Struthio camelus: one gene and its partner. The protein of the gene in region 2 interacts with the protein of the main gene of each other region in a biochemical or structural test. Links are inferred from orthologs where the notes say so. Each region holds a gene or a part of one and is shown on either strand. Other genes may lie near its edges.

Region 1 (7,869 bases), on a different chromosome or scaffold from region 2:
CTTTGTATGACTGAACAGAGCAGATGCTGCATAGGTGAAGGGAAACACACAACCTTATGCTGACTATTTTCCACTCTGTTTAGTACAGTTTGTCCCCTTCTCTCCTGGCTGCGGTTCTGCTGTGCATCCAGCCAAAAAATGTATTAACCATGCAAAAATCATACTTATGCTCTTATCAACCTTGTGCTGGCTAGGATAAAGCCAGTCACACTCTTCTTGGGCCCAAACTCTCCATGGGCCTATCAGATCCTCCATAGTAGATTAGGAGAGCTCCTAAACTCACACTTCAGAGGGTTACTAGTACATGACTACTCTTCAGGTAGCAGTGGCTACAGATCCCATTACCCATATATTCACACTGATGCCTGCTGTGGGTGTTACGTAAGGGAGAAGAGTTCTCAGATTAGAGTCACAGGTGGAGAAGGGTGCTCCAAAAGTGACTACTCATTAGCTTTAAGATGATGTGAATCAACCGCATCTCCAGAACTAATAAGGTGGTGAGAGAGAAGGATGAACAATGAGTAACATGCTGCTCAGAACCACTACATGAACCAAGACCACTAATGGGGACCGCTTGCCTTGCTTCCTCACTCTGGAAATTCTCTGAGCATGCGGTGCTGTCTCCCACATGAGATCCAGGTGTAAAATCAGAGTGTGAGGCTAAATGTCTATAAACCCTCAAGCTGCTGGAAGGATCTTCTGTCTCAGGACTGGATTATGGCCTGGGTCTGTGCTATCTTGTCACACTGACAACCCATCTCAGCAACACACATTAAAAGGTGGAAAAGTGGAATTAAAACCACAGCATCCTTTACAGACAGTCAGTATATGAGCCACAGTACCACCCTACCCACAGCTCCAGTTTTCATGCCTTACAAAAGAAAACAGAAAAGAGAAAACCTTCACCCCCGCTTGGTGAGTATAACCATATCTCAGAGCCTGTAAAAGTCAGCTTGTAAGGAAAAGTCCCAGAGTACATAGTTCCCTTGCCAAAGCAGAGGAATGACAAGCAAGAAAGCCATCTGCCTGTGGCATAATGTCAGTCTTGGCATCATGTACTGTGTGGCACAACAAGGACTTCCCCTAAAGCACAGCTCAGGGTTGAGCCCTCGAGGTGCTACTAAGCATCCAAGGTTCATGACTTTGATTAGAAAACAGGAGCAGGTACTAACGCATGGCGATTTACTTCCATTACTTTTGAGAAATTTCCATGTGTCTGTTGTCAAAATAAAAATGCTGGAATGGCTAGTGAAAGTGGCACACAATCAGGGGAAAAAGTATCAGGCTTATCCGTTGCCACTTCTCTGCAAACAGAACAAGCCACCTAACTTTGGAGACAGACAAAAAAGTTATACTGCCATGGCAATCCACCGACGTATTAAGATTAACTTGCCTAGAGACAAGTAATGGTGCATCAGTTATGACTGGAGAGGGGGAGGTAAGACAGGAAACACTGTACTCACAGTATGCTGCTCTCTATCCTTGCTGGTCCCAGAGGCTCAGTTTCACCTTTCACACAGCACAGCCCACAGGGAAAGGAACATGCGGCCCCTCTGGCCAGATCCTCCACCAAATCTAATGCAGCTGTGTCAGGTGCTGAAGAACCAGCCGAAATAAATGTAGTTGTGAGGAGGAAATATCACAGAGGAGTGTGGGGAGTTTGGAATAAACATTGGCTCTGTTGCAGAGTCTTTTGCAATTGAAGGCAAGTTGTGTAGTTCAGGTTTTCTTTGGTAAAATTCAGGGAATATTCCCTGATGTAGTCTCTGTAAGCTGTCCCTTTAGCTGGGCAAGAACTGCCCTTGGATCTGGGTTTCTGCAGCATCTAATACAGTGACAACTGCAGTATGTTCAATGTCCACTGAGCACAGCATCATAGAAGAAAAAAACAATTAAGAAAATGTTCTCGAGTTAGCAGCATAGCCCAGAGAATCTTTTAAAACAATCCTATCCTTTTATAACAAAACAACAGGTATCACATAAAAACTTGTTGTGAAGTGACGATGATTATCTAGGATGATTAGCAATGGGTGGGGGTTAATGTTTCTATTATATGCCATTAACAATTTTCAAATCTCACTGAGTGCTTTATTGCACCTCTGTGTAGCGATGAAGTCTAAAACTTTCTCGTGACACTCTCTGAGCACCTAAAGAACCTTCACATTTGCTGCTCTGAGTTCTAGTAAGTCAGTCTAAATTGAAGTGCTCAAAACCTTTATTTTGAGCAGCCTGAATGGTGTCCATCAAAGCAAACATCCTAAAAACACATCTTTCAAGATACTTATTGAACACGATCATCTAGAAATGCCAGATTCACACTTATTTAAATAGTTTGACAGCTTCCCAAGAAGACACCTGATGAGCATCACTTTCAAGTGTCAAAAAAGTACAGAGGAAAGGTGCCAAAAAAGTTTAAACCAAAGGAGTCATGCCAGCTAGTAGATGAGAGGTATTATAATACATTTACTGCTAAAAAAAAAAAAATAAAGATTTTTCATTTAAATGGAAAAAAAACTTTACATTACAGACAATTTTTTGAAAAAAACCATTACATCTCCCCACATCCCATATTTCTCACTAGCGAAATTTCCCAGCTTACTAAATCCAAAAAACAGGTGCATATATTGCATACAGCAGCACACACTGGTGTTGGGTGAGCACCTCAAAACCATTACAGCTGAACTGGAGATGCAACTTGCATTTTTTGTGGGAGCCACTGGGAGTTATGAGAATTTACAATCACTTCAGATTCAACCTTTAACACCTCATGTTGCTTATCTAAAAGTTGAATCGCCCAAATGAGAAGGTTCTTGGAAAAATCTTGACCCTAACCTGTATATGCTCCAATTATTCCATTGTTCCACAGTACAAAGTACTATGCATGTTTTATATAGGGACTTGAGGCTCACTGAGTGTTTGTAATATGCTTTGAGATCCTCTGATGAGAGGTGTTACCTAAATAAAAGTAATTTGATGCTTAAGTGTCTAGAATTCCCAGTGGACATCTGCACTCAAGCCCTGCTGCCATCACAAATGAAAAACATTTGGAATCCTTAACGTGATTTTTAATGGACATATGTTCATAACACAGTGCCACCAATTTGGCATATTTAGTGTCTTCTCAAGAGAAGCCCACAGTTTGTATAGCAAGATTGTGGGAGGTTAGGATTGCAGTGTGAGAAAATTTGCACAACACCTGCCTGACTATAATTTAATTGGCAGAAACTAATGCTCTGGGTTGGGGATTTTTTTCCCTGTACTCAAAACTGAAGAGACACTAGGACTAATCCCGCTCTGTTACACTGTCAATTTTAAGCTTTTGTTCTGGCTTTACTCGTGGTGCACTAAGATCATTTTCAAGCCTACCGTCTTTCTTTCTACAAACTGTTTTACTCTTTGTTATTTGTGTGTATAATGACTTTTATTTGGCCACCGCCAAGCACTCTGAGTATTTTTGTTCTTCACTGAAATATCAGTGTGCTTAGTATTGTTGAAGATTATATTGCATTTTTTTAAGGAAGTATTTAATCATATATTTTAATAAGAAAATGGATGGCCAAAATATTTCCGATCAGCTCTACTTGTGACACAGTACGCAGACCCAAACCATAAACACCACCGCTGTCATTATTAAGCTGTCTTTGACTTTACCTTTCCTTGCCACCAAGCCCCTTCTGGAGCAATCTTTAGCACCTCTTATCCTACCAGATTTTTTTTATTTTTTTGCAGGAGTGTTTGGCCTTGCTGTGCATCAAGGACAGCCCCTGTTACTTCACTATTTTCTTTGCTTTGCTTTTACAAAACATAATAAAAGGCTTTACAGGAAAGATAGGAGGATACAATCCCAGGGAAGCGTTCCTGTAGTCACCGGCCACTTCACTTGAGTCTTCAACTCCATGGTGTTTTACATACGAAAGCTGCCAGCCTGGCAGGAGTCCTGATTCATGCTACTCTGCCAAGCCTGGCCATTCAGGGCTTGCAAGCCAGTGCTGTCTGTATCAATGAAAGCCCTCTAGAAAAGTATTATTGACTGGCATGAACCTGGGTGGGTGGCCGGTTGTGAACCTCTTTTATGTAGTACACTCACATCAATTTTGTTGCTTTAAAGAAGTCCCTCAACCTTGGTTTAGATTGCCAGATTGCCTGTTGTGCAAACTGTTGTCAATCATGTATTTATTATACCTGGGGTGGAAGCCCCGTTGGCATCAATACTTGCAAGAGTTTGACATGAAGGATCACGTCACCCAGTCCTCAGACACTTTACTGGGACTGGGTGTAAATGGAGTGAGATGAAAAGGCAGCAGATCTTATTTCTTCACTTTTCTTTGTCTGTAAGTATCTACACAATCATGGTAAGACATGTATGTAAATATGTATATGCATATGTATATATAGCGTACTTTATACCTACACATGATGCAAGTATGCAGTCACATTCCTGAGCAGTTTTGTGCCTTGTCTTTGGGTACTAATTTAAAGATGGGTTAATATTTCATGCCCCCCCTAAACCCCCAGTAAGTTTACAAATAAGATCATAGGGAGGGGTTTGATCACTGAGACAATTGCTGACCTGCCTCTTCTTTGCGCTTGTCATAATGGAAAATAACTGTTCAGCTAAAGTGAGCCATAATCAAAAGCTTTTTCTCTCCAGCACTATAGGAAACCCAACGCTGAGATTTGCATTGCTTGTATTTTTAGAATTGCATGGACAAAAATAAGGTTGTAGGCATATATAGTGGGTACTCAGGCCTGTCACTGGTGACTGCTGAACTTCATCCCTAGATCAGGCAATGTTCCCAAGGTAAGTAAGCACACCTTGGACCAGCCTCCACTTCACAGCCAACTAGCAAGTAGCTGCTTACAGAACGCACCAACTGTGCTTTGCCTGGCTGACCCCCCGTTCCCTGTTCCAGATACTCTTTGTACTCGACCTTTCCCACACACCAAGAAATTATGATGCTTTGGGTTTCAAAGCTGAACTAGATCAAAGTTTGGACAAACGGATAAATTTTCTAACTGCTTCAGACAGCAAACGAGGGTCTAAGAATCACTGCTTTCAGCATTCATTAATCAAACCTGTTAAATGATTACCTCTTCAGGGCTGTTTTGTTGACAACTCTTCATGATGGCAATGTGTCAGTGGCAGTGTCCCAAGGCGCATTCAGTGGTGACATCAAGGACAAGCCTCCCTCACCTCACCTAGTGGGCTGGGCACTTCCACGAAGACTATTTAAGAAAGGAGAATGCCTCCTTTGAAACCAATGATCACAAGAGTATTCCAAAGCAAGGGAAATCGGATCAACTGAAAGGCACAGCAAAATCCTCTCTGAGATCTTTTAAAGAAAGTAAGTAGAATGGTGTCTATGTATTTTTTCCAGCTTTAAATTACCAACAATCTGAGTTCTTTATATTGATTTATAAGTAGAAGTACACAATCAAATCTTCTACAAATTCTACCTTTCTATTATGCATTGTAGGAAAGCAGAGTTATGCCGGTTAGAATGACATAACATGCTAACAGACAACATTTAATTTTAGCTTGTGATCAGCATTTCAAACCCGTCATCCAGATCCACTGCAGGCTACGGTAATGCCCCCACAGTTGAAGACCGAGCTAAACATCATCCCCAAGGTTATCCAGGGGGATTTGCAGAGCCTGCCTCCAGAAGTGAGAGAGTTCATTGAAAGCAATGCCAAGCTGTGCCAGCCTGAGAGCATTCATATCTGTGATGGCTCAGAAGAAGAAAACCAAAAAATTCTGGACATCATGGTAGAACAAGGCATGATTAAGAAGCTGAGCAAGTATGAGAACTGGTGAGTGGCATAAAAGAAAGTCAAGTAGGAGCTCAGAATAGTGATAAGCATTTTCTATCTGTTTGCATTTAAAAGTGCTCAAAATCCTTTAATATTTACTTTTCACGAGCATTTTGGAACTGTAGCTTACATAGGTTAAATAGGAAGAGCACAATTTTCCTCTCAAAATTAACGTAAACTATATTAATCAATTGGACTACCAACTGTACATTATCTCTATTTATCAGTTACAGAAATTGGAGAACTGAAACAATATCATGAGACTTATGTAACTAATCATTAGCAATGGTTAAATATTTTTTAGCAAATATATCTTTTGAAGAATTCTACTATTTCAGGCAATTAGTTTATTCATCAAATACTTTTCTGTGGCATTCAAATAGCTCTGTGGGTGTTCAAATACTATTCAGCACAGGCATTATTCATATTGTGCCAATGAGTTTTGACTGTAATGTATTCAGCAAATACTTTTTTCAAATATTCCCTCATCTCTCCCAACTAACCCAACATGAAAGGAGAATATTAACAAGTACATGCTTGGGAATTACGTGCTGACCAAGAAATCTTCATGGAAGAAATCTGCAAAGACTTTTGAATAACTCAGAAGTACAAGAATTTGGCAATCTGTTTGCAGACTATTTGAGAGAGAAAAGGGCAAAATTCACCAGATAAATTATTCATTGTTAATTATATGCTTAGCTGTAGTGATGATGGTTATGACAGCCCAGCTAGAACATTTTTATCCTCATAGAAAATTTCTAGGCACAGAGGTGAAAATGGTAAAGCAATCCTCTCTATTGTAAATAAATGGCAAATAAATTATTTGAAGGAGGAAAAAATAATCCTGTCTAATCAGCCAGCTTTATTTTTTATGATCATGGTAATACTCAATATTTCTTTTGCAATGCCTTTAACTTAAATGACAGTGCCAATCCACTAGGCTGGATTCTGGTCCCGCAGACATATATGTGAACATTTAAAGTACTTGCTTGGAATACATTTTGCTCAAGACATCATCACTTTGTGGTCCCTATGTAAAACTATTTTTACTTATCTGTACCAATAAGAATGAGAATTAAATGAGTTTAACTTTTCCCTGCAAACTAGCAACAGGGAATAAAGCTGATGTAAGAGGCAGAAGAGTATTAAGGAGTAATGAGAATTTCCCAAGCCATATAATTCACTATTCATTCTGCAATGTCCTGAGATACTTTGTTTGAGAGAACGAATTTGACTAATCTTTGAGGCTGTCTCAGTTGCATTGATTTTGTCACTTAAGTTCTACCCTTTCAAAACGTTTTACCCTTTTGTGCTATAGGGGTCCTACAGAAGGGTTTAAAAAGTTATATATTTTTTAAATGATTAAAGTCTAATTTCATCATTTTTGGTGAAATACAGCTGGTTGGCTCTCACTGATCCAAGAGATGTGGCAAGAATTGAGAGCAAAACTGTCATTATCACTCCAGAACAGAGAGATACCACTCCAATCCCTAAAAACGGAACTAGCCAGCTGGGCCGCTGGATGTCAGAAGACGATTTTGAGAAAGCCTTCAATACCAGATTCCCGGGCTGCATGCAAGGTCGGTGAGAAAAGGAAAGCTGACATTGCACTTTTAGAGTTACAGAAACAGTACTACTAATACTTATGATAATCCTTAATTTAAAATATTTTAGCTGAAGGTTTAGGTAGGTACTCCTGATATAAGTCACTTTGTAGGTTTCATCTGGATCTTTACAATAGATCCAAAGGTCTGCACATGCATTGTCCTCAATCTTTCTCCAGTAAACAATTCATTCTTCTTTTCATAAAGAGGGGCAAAGCAAGGTAGGAAAAGTTGGGTGACTTTTGAAGGAGTCATAGAGCAACTGAGCAGCAGAGAAGAAATTCAAGTAAGAATGGAAGACTCCCACCCCCAGCACAAATTTCTTCAGTAAAAGAACCAATAGTTTACGTGAATAGAGCACTTGGCCTCCACCCACTTTTACTACTGGCTAGAGAATTTGTCTGAAGAGCTGCATTCAGCATTTAAGATAAAACTTACTGCTCCATGATTA
Region 2 (7,533 bases):
CACAAAAGTAAATATAACCTTGTATTCAATTAGTTTTCTTCATAGCAGCTAGCTTCCAGACATCTAAATGAGTGTCACGGACAAGCTAATGTTGTGTCAGTTTATTTGAGAGAGGTCTAGTACCTACCATCAAGGTACAACATAAGTATCTAAAAAAAAAAAAAAAAAAAACTCGGTAAAAAGTACTTTCAGATCATGTGTGCATGTTGTCAGGACTATTCCCAATCATTTGTGGTTCTACAGTTACATTCTGCAGTAGACATACAATCTACTTTAAGAGAAGGATGGTTTCTAAATCACTTCACCCCTTTCATACACTATGCTTAATAACCTGTGCAGACATATCAAATACTTTTATTATAAAAATCCAAAACTCAAGTATCCTGAATGCATGGGGGCTACACTGATAAATGCATTGTTTTAAAATGTGACTGTTCCTTACATGCAGAACATCTAGCTACTCATGAACTGTGCTCATGAAAGTAATACAGTTTATCACGTGCTATGTACATTACTAATGAAAGTATGCAACACAGAATTATAGTCCCAAAAATTGAGAAATTTTGATTATTGAGATGCAATTATCATTCAGAATGGAGATGGGGAAAAAAAATAACTTGGGCTACCGACTGCTGTTTGTAGCACAGATGCAAAAAAGCCTTTAAAGGGTGAGAAAGGGAAGAAACACAGCAGATGCATGAGATGCTCCAAGATCCTAACTTCCATGTACACGTATATGAAAATTTATTAGGCTATCCTGATACATATTGACAGAATAGTAATTAGCAGCAATGCTACTGATAAAATTGAACTGCCAGTTCCAGCACATACATATGTGCCTCAGTCCTATTTATGAATCATTCTGATTTCACTGCATTACAAGTTCTGATACATAGCTACCACATTTCTAGTCAAATTATGTTTCTGAAGTGGAAATTTATGATTTGCAGCTCAGATCAAGGAGCCACTTGATTTTTCAGAATAAGTCAGTACTTAATAGCACTTCTGTAGCTTCCTCCATATATTAATTACCACATTTTATGAAGCTTCCTGTATCAAATAAAAGTTGTAAGAGCTGCTGCTGTGGTTAAAAAAAAAAAGCATTATGAGGACTGAAGCGACATCGTATTTAACATCAATAAGTCAACAAAACAGGTGACATACTAAAAGAATATCAGATGAGCTCTTTCATTCTGAGCTAAGTGTGATAATTACATGCTAAATGTTTTCTAAGGGCCTATCAACGTTAAAAAAAATGAAAAAGAAAAATCACTGAGGTCCTTTCAAGATCAAAGTCCTAGATCTTACCCTAAATCAAAATAGTAGGATGAAGAAGCAGAAGCACTCCTAGTACAGCATTACCTCTCACAGTTTGTCACTCTAAAGAAAGAAGCTGTAGGTCAACTTTGAATGCACGACTGTGGAGAAAGCCAATCAATCCCTTAGGAAAGGTTAGGCCTCCTCCTAGGAGGCACATGAAGAACGAGTCCTGTAAAATGTACTATCCAGGTAAGGGAAAAAAAAAAAAAATGCACTCCACATTAACATGCTTTGGGTCACAGACCTATTTTATCATTAGAAATATCTTCTCCCTGCTTAAGGACAGGGATGATGCAGTTTGGGAGAAATTTATCTTTACAATGACCTATTTTCCTCCTCATAAGCCCTTGAACTTCAGCTGTGTTTTAACAAGAGCCATCTCGGGAAAGACAGATCACTTTTCCTAGCCTAAACTACCAACAGTGGAGTGAGATGGACCGTGATCTAGTCTCAAACTTAGTAAAATCCAGGAAGACAAAAATATAATCAAGCGTACGTATATTTATAAAAACTTACATGCACTGATAAATATTAAATAGTATTTAGCTATAGTGTAAAAAATACTTAGGTTTCTATCCAGTGTTGATTAAAGATTTTGATTTGCTCATACATAAATTCATAAGAAATTCAAAGTGCAAAGTTACATATTTCTTAAGGATTTACGTATAACCAGGCACAAGTGAAATTTACTAACTATAACATATACAATTAGTAATTGCTACAGAAGAAATATTTGACAGCCACACAGAAGGCTGTAAAACACAGATCCAGCAATGAAATCTACTTAGGTAATAGATTTAATTTTCTCCCAAGTATTTTATTTTCTCCCAGCCTGCAATTTCTCTCCCATAAACCAAAATAAAGTTAGCTATGAGATTTCCAAAAAACACTGTGCTTCTGTTCTATCTGTCATACCAAGCTGAGCCAAGCCGCATACAACCAGCGATCTGAAGATCAGGCCACCCTTCTTGTTTAAATAACCCGCAATAATAAATAAAGAGGAACATAAAGCAGACTCCAAGCGTGCATACGCGTTACATCCTTCATGCACGTCTCTATTATCCTCCCCTCCCCACTCGCACACACACACCGCGGTCTCCCATCTGCATTGTCTGCCTCGATTCATCTCTGATTAAAATGGACACATTCTCGCTCCTCCTCGCGCTCGGCCCGGGAGCCACGATAACCTCCTTCCTGGGGCGGACATCGGCACGGGGCACGCGGAGCCGAGGCCCCGCCGCGGGCCCACGGCGGAGGTCGCGGCCCGCCACCCCCTCTCCCGCGGGGGGCAAAGTTGACGGCGCCGGCGCGGCCGCAGCGAGAGGACGGCCGCGGCCCCGCGCGGGGAAGGCGCCGGGAGCGCCCGGCGCGGGGGCGACGGGGGGGGGGGGGGGAGAGGACGACGACGACACCGGGGCCGCCCCCCCGCGGCCCGGCGCCGCCGCTGCCCCTGCCCCAGGGCGCCCTCGGCGCGCCGCGCTCCGGCCGCCGCCGCCGGCCCCTCCCCTCACCCACGGGGGCCGAGCTGCGCCAGGCCGGCCCCTCCCCTCCGCCCCCCGCCGCACCGGCCTGCCCCTCACCGGTCATTGAGCTGGTCCTCGGTGCCCGGGAGCGGGTGCACCACGAAGTGGATCGAGGTCATGTTCCGCGCCGCCGCCGCTGCCCCCCCCGGCGGAGGGAGGCAGGCGGGCAGGCGCCGGGCACACAATGGGGGCGGGGGGGGCGGCGGGGGGAGGGGGGCGCTCGGCGTCTTTCCCTCCCCCGGGGGCGCTCGGGGCCGCCGGCGGAGTCCTTGGCTCGCCCGCCGCGACGCGGGGCGCGGGGGACGAGGGAGCCCGCAGCGGAGTGCCGGGAAGAGGCTCAGCCCGCACCGCACTCACACACGCGCCGCCATCTTAACTTCCAGCGGGCCCTTCTCCCTCCCTCCTTGCGCCGCGCCGGGGAAAGGCGGGGCGGCGGCCGGCCGGCCGCTATGCAAGCCGCGCGCTGAGTGGTGCGCTCGCCGCCGGGCAGCGCCCCTCCACTAAGCGGGCGGCGGATTGGCGGGATGGACGGGAGGTCTCGCAAAGCGCGGTGACGTCATGCGCGAGGGACGTGAAAGACCACGTGCTCCCGAGAGCAACTCCCCGGCGCTCCCCTTGGCCGCCGCCGCTGGCGGTGGCGTGCGCGCGCGTGCGGCGGGGGCGGGGCGGCGGCAGCGGCGGCGCGCGCGCGGCTCCCTGAGGCGCGGGCCGGGCCGGGCCTGTGGCGGCCCCTGCGGCCGAGCGGGCCGCGCCGGGGGCGGGCGGCTCCGCCCCGCTCCCCTCCGCTGCGGGAGGCGGCGAGCGGCCCCGGCTGGGCGCCTGCCACCGCGGGTGGGCGGGCGGAGCCGGCCGCGCCGCGCCGCCACTCCGCTCGCCAGGGCCGGGCTGGCCGGAGCTGCCGTTTGCCCGTCGGCTTAACGGAGAAGAGAGGCAGAGCGGGTGGGCGGAGCCGCGCCTCGCCACGCTTTGCTGCGGGCCTGGCGAACGAGGCGTGTCAGTGGGTTTTCGCCTCCTCAGGCCCTCCTTGTGGCGCGGGTGACCTCAGAGGGGATTTTCGAACTAGCTGCCCTTCGTTATCTGCTTTCCCAAAGTTAGGAGGCTGGTTTTCAGTTCCTGGCTATGACTAGCCGGTCGCACAGTCAGTCTTCTCTCTAATAGCCAAAATTTTCCACCCTTTTCCAGGCAGATTTGTGCTATATCAGCGTAGAAAGTTATCCCTGAAACACCATGGAGCACTTTGTGCCTTAGTGGCTGCGCACTGTGCTCCTGGAAGGGATTTTATCATGCTTTTGGAAGGGAACATACTTTGCAAAAGGGATGGTTTTTAAGAAATTAATATCTAAATTTACAGAAAGTCGAGTAACAAAGTCAAAACATTCGTTGGTTTCTACAGAAACCAACACCTTGGCTGGGATTGTACTAAACGTTGGCTTTGACTGGATTTTACTGTCTTTGCAGCTCATTCTGTTTATTTGCAGGAAATCAGAATTTTAGAAAACTGACTTGGAATTTTTTAGCATGTGCAGAATGCTTGCCACTCTACAAAAAAATTTGAAACTTGGTTCACTGAGATATAGGGTTTTTTTGGGCCTATGCAGTCATAATCCCTAGAAATCTCAGCTTGCTCTTCCCCTCTCAAATCTGAGGAGTGCATGTCACTTTGACATTTGCCATCACCCGTTCCCCTTTCTTCCCTGGCTCTTTCCCCAGCACAGCTGAAATGAGCTAATCCAAGAATGAACTAAAATAGCTGTTTGCAGCCCAAAGACATGGGGAGCTTGTGAAGGTTTTTTCAATACAATTATCATTAATGATGAAGTGTGGTAAAGAGAACAAAAAATGTATTAAATGGACAGGTTCCAGATTTCCTATTCTCAGACGCTATTTCTCAGCATGTTCTGTTCTCAGGCAGAAGTGACAGTCAAATAGGTTTGAGAGTACAGATATGTAATTTAGGTAATTTAGCTTACACTGTAAAAAAATCCTCATTTCTGGAAATATGCAAGGTGTCAAAATAGTATTAATTCTGTTCTGTAGTGACACTGCGCCGTAGCTGTATTTTAAAAACAAAGGGTCCTACTTTAAGTGGGTAGCTGTTTTGCCTCTTTTCTGTTAAGTGAGAATTAATAGTTTTTTGGATGCCTTAGTTCTGCACTTGATTGAAGTTTGATAGTTTTGCTCGGGGGGGGGGGGTTCTTTTTGGTTGGTTATTTTTTAACATCAGCTTTTATTTTCCCTGAAAACGTCTATATTGTTTACTGCAGTGGGAAGTTCCTCTAAGTTGTCTTGGCCTCAGTCATTGTATCAGAATGACCTGCATGTTCTGATAATCAATTGATAAACCTTGCATCTCAGTTTGATTTCTCTTCCCCTCCCTTCCCCCCTACACAATGAGTATCTGCCTTTGTGGCAGTCATTTCTCTATTCCAGTGAACTGTAGGAAGGACTTCATGAAGTCCTTCAGTGGATCTTGCTGCATCTTTTAGGGATGCTTTCAGGTATTTTTAGTAGGGTTTGGGAAGCTCCAGATATTTATGTATGCTCTGAAGATTACAACCTAGTTCTTCAAAGCATTTACACTTCGGAATAGCATAATTTGTGGAATTCTGTTAAGGGCTAGGCATAATGATGAGATACCAGTTTCTTTCTTTCTTCCACCTGTTACCTGCAAGTTTTAAAAGTTAATGGGTTGTGGAAACTTATTAGATAAAAGACAGGAAAACAGCTTGAAAAGCCCAAAGAGAGCAGATGTCTGTTAGGGCTCAGCAGTCTACTGAGGCATGTCTGAGTGATGATTTTCTCTAGCTTTATTTACATTATGACTGAACCCCAGTTCTGTCCATTGCCTATGCCTGTGCCAGTGCAAACACTCAGCATAAGCAGAAAGGGAAAAAAATTGATTCCACGGGAACATATGCTTGGAGCCAGAATAAACTTTGGTGGTGCAAATCTCAGCTTTCATTGTTCACACCTAAGAGTTTATACTGCTGTGCAGAATGGAAGCTAATGCTAGGTGTAGGTGAGAGGACATTTAATGTTTAGCTGACTATTTTATTCTGACAGGAATTTGGAACACGATCAAAGTTCCAACGTGCTATTGGAAGTAGCCCATACTTGCCTAATTAGGCTGTAAGACCACATCATACTAGATCAGTTCTAGAGTACCAGTAAATGATAATACATTGAGTTCCTTTGTTGTCCTTTGATGTTTTTCTGAGAAGAAAATGACATAGACAATGGAATTTGATGGTCCCTTGATTCATCTGAAATGCATCCTAACAGAATTGCTTTCTAATCAAAGATCTGCTTATTCTTAAAGTTTTTATTTCTTAGAAACTTCAAAATAAAAGACTTTTCCTAATGACAGCATCCAGTAATGAAATGGCCTTTAAAAATTTGCATTTACTAAGTCATGTAAAAATTCAAGAACACAACTAATTTTATTTCTTTTCAACATGTGCTTTTAAGACGGGACTTGTGTCTTGGCCTAAGAAATTTAGTTCCTTATGTTGCTGCATTCCTCTGTGTATAAAAAGTTGCTATTTTCAGGCCTACTGATAAAGAAGAAGCTTTCTTGTTAAGGTGCAACTATAAATATACCAACACCCAACCAGCAGAACAAGTTTCTTGCTGGTATACTTGTCTCTGCTAGAACTTTTGCCAGCTTAGAAATACCGTATCAGATAACTCCTGTGGCTTTGTTGCTATCATGTCAGAAGTTGAGTTTTGATAAATGTCAACATTTTCCTAACTTTTTAGACTCATGCAGTTTGGAAGGGGCTTCTGGCGTTTATCTAGTCCAGACTTCTGCTCCAAGCAGGTCCAATTAGACCAGATTGTTCAGGAACTTTTCCTTCAGAAATACCTTTCGAAAAATATACAACAAGTGAGACTTATTCCCAGGCAGCTTGCTGAACAACAGCTGCAGGCTAGATGGTTTGCATTGCTTTCCATTGTCCGTTAGTCCTAAAGGGGACCTGGTAGAGATGGGAGGATTATCGTAGAAAGACTGCAGGGTGTTTGCACTGGAAGCAGTGCAAGCACATGCTGACAAATGTGCCACAGGCAGTGTGGCTATGGCTGATGCAGCACGCTAAAGTTGGGGTAGAGGCCCTGAGCTTTTGAGGCAAGGCTTCAGGCTTAGAAATACCGTATCAGGCATCTAAGGATGCCTCGTGCATTTTCCAGGCTGTTAACTTCATATGTCAACACAGATGACATCACAGACTGGCAGGATAAGATGATATTTTGCTGTGGAAGAAACGAGGCCAGCATTCCTCAAAACGTCAACAAAAATGCTGCGTAGGAAACTGTAGCTTCTGAATTATTCGCAGGACCAAACAAGTTTGTATATTGATCAACAAAGTACACCTCAAAGAAAAAAATTCTCTTTCCAGCACCTTGTGCCCCAAGCGAAAGAAAAGCAAGTTCCTTACTACCTCCTAGTCTCCCTCTATTCAGGTATAGCATAAGAGTAATTTGTCTGGGGCTGGGAACATCAGGCTTTTAAAACGCATCTGTGTGTTTTGTAACACTTCTATGACCTGCATAGTTTACAAGTTAACACTAGAAAGCAAAGAATTCCAACTGAGGAGGACTGCACTGCCTGCAGTTTGCTTTCTGCTGTCTTGGATTATGTTTTGTCATGTTCATGTCTTGGATTGTAATAGACTGATTTTTTAATACGTTG

Evidence for each region.
Region 1: the proteins of UBR5 (region 2) and PCK1 form a complex in vitro, tested with the Homo sapiens proteins (2 studies listed by BioGRID, with this or other methods). The link is inferred for Struthio camelus from reciprocal best matches to the Homo sapiens genes UBR5 and PCK1.

Annotation. Positions count from the first base shown.
Region 1 is NC_090959.1:12,995,154-13,003,022, forward strand, and holds the start of PCK1 (phosphoenolpyruvate carboxykinase, cytosolic [GTP]), read left to right. Parts: upstream 1-4,830; 5' UTR 4,831-5,345; intron 5,346-5,538; 5' UTR 5,539-5,590; coding exon 5,591-5,814; intron 5,815-7,212; coding exon 7,213-7,394; intron 7,395-7,869. UniProt on the Homo sapiens protein: Cytosolic phosphoenolpyruvate carboxykinase that catalyzes the reversible decarboxylation and phosphorylation of oxaloacetate (OAA) and acts as the rate-limiting enzyme in gluconeogenesis.
Region 2 is NC_090943.1:145,520,694-145,528,226, reverse strand, and holds the start of UBR5 (E3 ubiquitin-protein ligase UBR5), read right to left. Parts: upstream 3,073-7,533; 5' UTR 2,963-3,072; coding exon 2,901-2,962; intron 1-2,900. UniProt on the Homo sapiens protein: E3 ubiquitin-protein ligase involved in different protein quality control pathways in the cytoplasm and nucleus. Mainly acts as a ubiquitin chain elongator that extends pre-ubiquitinated substrates.